2 linked regions of the Xenopus tropicalis genome follow. The protein of the gene in region 1 interacts with the protein of each later gene in a pairwise test. Links are inferred from orthologs where the notes say so. Each region holds a gene or a part of one and is shown on either strand. Other genes may lie near its edges.

Region 1 (2,808 bases):
GGCGTGCCTGCGCTGCTAGTATGTGTTATCAGGCGCGCCCACACAGACGCACGCCTAGGCTGGGGGGAGGGAAGGTTTCGCATGCGCACAGGAGGGCGCGCGCCGGGGGGGAAGAAGGTTGCGCATGCGCAGTGTAGACAGTGAAGTGGGCATACCACTTCCAAGATGGCCACACCATTCTTTACATGGAGCTCAAACTTTCAAGTAAGATTTTATAAGTTTTTGTTTATCAATTGTAGCACTATTCAATGGTACCATTTATAAATTTTGGCTTGCCTTCTCCTTTAAGTTTTTCATAAGTGGGTCTCGGTTTTGCCATTGGCAGCACGTGTGGTAATATAACTAGGAGCCAAGCTAAAAGAATGATAGAAGAGCTGGATGTGGGGGACATCAAGGACTCATTACAGAACCTGATTCCAAGCCCCATCCCAATAACTGTGTATAATAAAACTACATTCATATTTGCATTCACTCAGATTAGCTTTGGGTTTCAGGGAGGAGTTACTCCAGCTGGCATGCTCTCTACAAAGAACGATTGGCTGATGGGGCAGTGGTTGTGAACTAATAGGTCGAGAGAGCACAAGGGTCAGAGGTAAAGGAGCCTACTGAGACTGGAGGCCACCAGGATATTCCCCAGTATCCCAGCAGGCCAGTCAGTCACTGGGTGGGGGCTGAGGTTCAGTTCCAAAGTGAGCAAGGTTCACATAAGGATATCTTCCTAGCTAAAGAAGGGAAAGTTCTGAACAAGAAGTGCTCTTTTCCTAGCAGTGAGATTCCCGCCATTAACTACAGGGTAGTAAATAAACCCCTGAATTATTGCAATTCATTCCCAGTCTCCCATTTTGATACCCAAAAAATAGGGCCAAACTTGTATTATCCATATATATATATCACCAGGCTGCACCCTGTTGTGTCCTTTCAGATTGAAGACTTGAATTTAAAGATCTTTGACCTCCGTGGCAAGTTTAAAAAGCCAAACCTCAGGAGGGTGCGCCTTTCTGCCGATGCCATGATGCGGGCGCTGTTGGGCACCAAGCACAAAGTCTCTATGGACCTACGGGCTAATCTCAAGCAGGTCAAGCAAACCAAAAAGGATGACGCAGACAAGGTAAGTTATGTGTCCCCAGTTTGCGTGGTGACATCAATTCAGCAATTTTGTCATTGTCTCTATAAATTCTATACAGCAGGCTATTTTACTAGAAAATCCTGTCTTTTAGGATATAAGAGAAGTAGGAGACTGGAGAAAGAACGTTGATGCCCTGAGTGGTATGGAGGGCAGGAAGAAGAAGTTTGAATCCACTGGAGCTGTCCCAGTTTAAGTAGGCATTACTTAATATACTGTTACTTTTATATTTACTAGTACTAATACCATATAATGTCCTGGTATTTTATAGTATTTTTATATTATTAGTCAGCAATATATGTTCCCTACAGTATGGGCAGGGCATGATATCTTGCTAAACAAACCTCTCTTTCTCTGTCTGAAGCAAATAGGAAAAAATACTAAAGCTTCAGACATTTGCTTCCATTAAAAGCAGCAAGAATGATCTCTGTATAATGAGCTAACCCAGGCCTCTGTGCTGCATGTGCTCTCATTCATAAAAAATGACAAACTAAGAGTGATGTTTCCTTTTCCCCTCTACTTAATCCTTTATGGTCACATATGGCTTATTTGGTACCCCATCACTGACCTGCGTAGCTTGGCATGCAACCCAAACCACCAGGAAAGCATGGAATTTATATACATATTGTTCTTTTTAGGAGAGATTTCAAATGGAAGTCACTTCTGGACTGAAACTGGACAATTCTTCTACGTTTGTGTACCAAGGCTGTTACTCAGCAATGGCCAGAGCTGGGACCCTAATAAAGCATCCTGTCAGAGAATATCATGGCTGCCTGTATCTGTTGTTTGAATCCTCATTCTTCTACCCAAATATGTAACTACTGGCAGAGTGAATTATTTCTGTTTCTTGCAGCACAGCTAATTATTTCTTGCCACTGTTCTGTGACGAAGCAACTCATTAAATGATATATTGTAGTTATCAGCTAAGCTATCTTGTCTCAATCACTCAGCCAGTGAGCGTTGTTTAATAAGGGCCTGGCCAAGCCTGACATCTGTCAGAGAGGCATCTGAGCAGGGCCCATACCCAGGCACATAAATTGGCAACTAGAGGGGCAGAACTGGCAGCTTAAATGTCCCTGTGTATGGCCTGCTTAAGGGCAATGTCTCTCAAGGCATATTCTCCACTTGCAAAAGACTGATCCTCTGCTTTCTTTGCTGACTTTAGTATGCATTGGCATGTATGGTATTTATCTATTAGTGCCAGTGGCGTAACTACTGGACCACTGGCCCTGGTACATAATGGAACCCCCCCCCCTACAGCCTGGCCCCTTACCAGAAGAAGTTCCATGTACTCCTCACCTTCGGGCCTCGGCACAGTGATTCTGGCAGGAGTGTGCAGTTACTTCGACAGGCCTAACTGGGGGGTAGTTACGTCACTGGTCAGTGCACACACAAGGCAGATATTAGTGCAAAAAAATGCTTAATTTCAATTAGTTTTCAAGCAGAAGTCGGCCCCATAAGTGGATTGATATTTTCTCTACCTGCTTGTGACACTAGGCTAAACAGGGCCACAGGGGACCTATAAGGGCTGCCAACCTGGATCCTACAGAACAAATCAGCAGATTAATCAGCCAGTGTGTCCAGGACCTCAGAGGTGTACAAGGGGTATTGAAGTAAGGGGCATTGTAGCATTGGGGGTATTGAGATGTTTACATGGGATTTGCATGTTACCTAGGCGGACACGG
Region 2 (3,636 bases), on another chromosome or scaffold:
CTTGCTTTATTTTTCCAGCATTGATTGACACCTTATCTTTGATTTGCAGCCTACAGACCAACAGCAAGATGCGAGGTCCTTCCTCAGCGAGGAAATGATTGCTGGTATGTCCTGTTTCATGGTTTCCTTTTCTATCTCTAGACTATATTATTTTGTGCCAGGTTTAATTACTTTTTGTGAAAACAGAGCATTTGTGCAGGTAGGTGTGTAGGAGTCTGTATGTATGTCTGATTCAGTGTGTATGTCTCCTGTTAGGTGCAGATAATTGCACTTCTTATTCTGCCTGTATGTATGGGCACGTGGGGATGGCTAGATTGATAAATATAAGGCCTCCACCCATGAAAACATCAGTATTTTGTGCATAATGGAGGAAAAGAATACCTAAGAAAATATAAAAAGAACAGGGAAGGAGGTTTTACACAGATATCACACATAATAATACACATTTTTAGCTTTTCATAGTTTCTCCTTGAGGAAGGCATAGGGAAAGGGGAAATAGGCTCATTCATAGTTTCTCCTGAGGAAGGGATAAGGAAAGGGGAAATAAGCTATGTAAATAGAAAAACAAAAAAGAAGATACAAATGGTTCTAGTTATAAAGCACAATCTACATAGGGTTATATACAGACACACATGCAACCTATTAACCCATTGCAGGCACAATACTAACTGCTGATTGTTTGTTGTAAATTTGAGTACCAGGGCAATAAGCTTCATAGAATTATAGGGGATGAGTCATGATGAGAAAATGTTGAACAAATTTCTACCTTAACATCCAGATGCCTGGAAATAAGAGAGAATAATGGACATTATGTAACTGACATGCTGTAGCTTAGAAAAATGCAATGAATTGTGCAAAAATTTGGTGATAATGAAGGAAGGAGGTGATGTGAAGGTTTAATAAATGTAAGAATATAAGGGGTAAAGAATTTCCACTTCTGCCCTCTTATTTTTTCCCCCCCTTTTCACTCTATTTTCTTCATTCCCTTTTCTCCTTAACTCTTTCATCCTTAACACTTTTGTAGATGGGTAGGCATTGAAGGCAATATGGTTTATTGAACAAGAGGGCCAATGACATTTTAGCCTGTCATTAACCTTCAAAGTGGAACAGTTCATGATTTTTGGTGAAAAAGGAACAATGTGTCTTTTAGATTATGAAGTGACTGAGTGAATGATAAACAGTTAAAGTAGGTTGTAAGGTGTGAGATTGAATAAAAGAAGATTGAGTGAAGAATGAAAATTTAAGGTGGGAATGTAGGAAAAGGCTATAATAGGAAAGACAGATAATAAAAGGTATTATTGGATAGAAGGAACATTTTAGGTTCATGCTCCAGTAAAAAGGCAAGTCAAAGATTCATTTGAGATCAATGCACTTAAAATGGTGAAGGAAGGGGATAACCTGGAGTGGCACACAGAAGATTTCTGATTTTTTTTTTATTCTCTGTGCAGAGTTCAAGGCTGCCTTTGACATGTTTGACACTGATGGTGGCGGTGATATCAGCACCAAGGAGTTGGGAACTGTCATGAGGATGTTAGGACAGAACCCAACCAAGGAGGAGTTGGATGCCATCATTGAGGAAGTAGATGAGGATGGTGAGTTTTTAGAAACTTGAATACTTAGTAGGAAATTAATGTGTGACAATAGAGTTGTACTTACACCAAAAGCCATAAGAGAGCCATTTAAGAGAACATGTTTAATGTGTTCTTTTAGTCTGAAGTACCATAGTGCTTGAATCTGTTTTCTTGAGTGATCCCTAAGATGAACCAACAATTCACAATAAGTGAGGTCTGTTGGGATATTGCCAGTTGAATAGTTAACACAGAGTGGTTGTCAAATGGAGGTGTAATTGGTGTTATCTTACAGGCAGCGGCACTATCGACTTTGAGGAGTTCTTAGTCATGATGGTGCGCCAGATGAAAGAGGATGCGCAGGGCAAAAGTGAAGAGGAGTTGGCTGAGTGCTTCCGCATTTTTGACAAGTAAGTCCACCCCTAATTCACCTTATGGGATTTATGTATGCTATGTCTTTCAGTTCATTTTTGTATGTGTGCTAGCACCTAGTGTCTATCTTTGTACTAAATCTCCACCATATTGTGTCCTTTTGTGGCCTCTGACATTTCTCTGCTCTGCAGGAATGCTGATGGGTACATTGATGGCGAGGAGTTAGCTGAAATCCTCCGTTCCTCAGGTGAGAGCATAACAGATGAGGAGATTGAGGAGCTTATGAAAGATGGAGACAAAAACAACGATGGCAAAATTGACTTTGATGGTGAGTTTGCAACCCATTGAAAAAAAATGCATTTGGTATTATTGGCTCTCCACATATACTTAATGCCTATACCTTTATCTTTGTAGAGTTCTTGAAGATGATGGAAGGTGTGCAGTAAGCAGTAGGACATTCCTCTGGAGCGTTGTGACGCCAACCTGTACATTACACTGCGTCTTACTTACATTTCAGGAAGGAGCAAGTCATCCTGCTCTTTTACTGTACCTCCCACAATCCTCCTCGCTTCTGATGTGTACATTACTCTCTATGGCCACCTTGCATCCTGCAGAGAACCTCTTAATCCACTGTTTACTATCAGGCTCTCTACCCTCTTCATCTTCCTGTTTTTCTGACTCATATGTTATTTATAAAAAAAAATTACAGTTACCATTAAAACTCTTAGTGAACCTTTGCTATCTCTGGGCTGCATTCATACTCAGAAGAGGATAGAAACTCCTTTAGATATCTATTTGTGGTGCAAAGCAAATGTAGCAGTATCTTTTTTTGCTCAATGCTCACATAAATAGCAGCATTAAAAAGTTTTGAGACACACTAGCTTATGGCTACCCCATTCCACCCTAGAGGGCTGTCTAGTTTGCCTAATAATAACACAGAAGCTGCCAACCTCATGCTGACACGTAGACACAGTGGAAAGCACTAATATTTTTGCATATCCGTTATTTTCACATTCATACAATTCAGCATGTAAATAAAAAGGGTGATGTATTTTGAGAAGACTTGTAGTGTGGTCATTTCTTATGACAGAACAGTTGTCCCGTTATTGTCAGGTCAGTTAATTAGGTCAAACTATAGTAGGGAGACCTGTATATTTTTAGGCCTGTGGGTTAGATTATGGTACACCCAGTTGTACTGAATGCTATTTATACTCGCAGGAACGAAAGCAACGAAAGGAAAAGATGGTGGTATAATATTAGCATTGCTTTTGAAGCTGCTCTGCCTATATGAACAGGCTTAATTGATATTAAAGGGAAGCCCTCCCAACTGGATATAAAGAAACTGACAGTACCAAAAAACTATAAAACCCCCCTTTCACGGAAAGAATATATTTACAATTTGCCTGTAGGGCAATGAATAGACAGCTGTTCCATCCCCACCCACCAAGGTCTTCTCTCCAGCAAGGACAGCCACTACTCAATATAATAGATTACTACTAGTAGAAGAAAAAATTGGGGTAGAAAATGTGTCCAACGAGAATGTTGTATGGTCTTCTGTATTTAGTGTTATACCCCGGTACAGGCAGACTTTTATATGAGATAGGAAGGTGATGCTCATAAAGGAGATAGGAAGGTGAAGTTTTCGCAACTGACCTGACTGAGAGACATTGGAGTGGCTGTTGGGTTTCTTTGCTCA

The links.
Region 2: the proteins of tnni3 (region 1) and tnnc2 interact in binary tests that used the Homo sapiens proteins (3 or more experiments, as listed by UniProt). The two-hybrid records come from large-scale screens. The link is inferred for Xenopus tropicalis from reciprocal best matches to the Homo sapiens genes TNNI3 and TNNC2.

The regions. Positions count from the first base shown.
Region 1 is NC_030683.2:104,561,933-104,564,740, forward strand, and holds the end of tnni3 (troponin I, cardiac muscle), read left to right. Parts: intron 1-922; coding exon 923-1,108; intron 1,109-1,217; coding exon 1,218-1,319; intron 1,320-1,761; 3' UTR 1,762-2,045; downstream 2,046-2,808. UniProt on the Homo sapiens protein: Troponin I is the inhibitory subunit of troponin, the thin filament regulatory complex which confers calcium-sensitivity to striated muscle actomyosin ATPase activity.
Region 2 is NC_030686.2:19,690,765-19,694,400, reverse strand, and holds the end of tnnc2 (troponin C, skeletal muscle), read left to right. Parts: intron 1-49; coding exon 50-104; intron 105-1,448; coding exon 1,449-1,592; intron 1,593-1,863; coding exon 1,864-1,978; intron 1,979-2,131; coding exon 2,132-2,268; intron 2,269-2,354; coding exon 2,355-2,386; 3' UTR 2,387-2,997; downstream 2,998-3,636. UniProt on the Homo sapiens protein: Troponin is the central regulatory protein of striated muscle contraction. Tn consists of three components: Tn-I which is the inhibitor of actomyosin ATPase, Tn-T which contains the binding site for tropomyosin and Tn-C.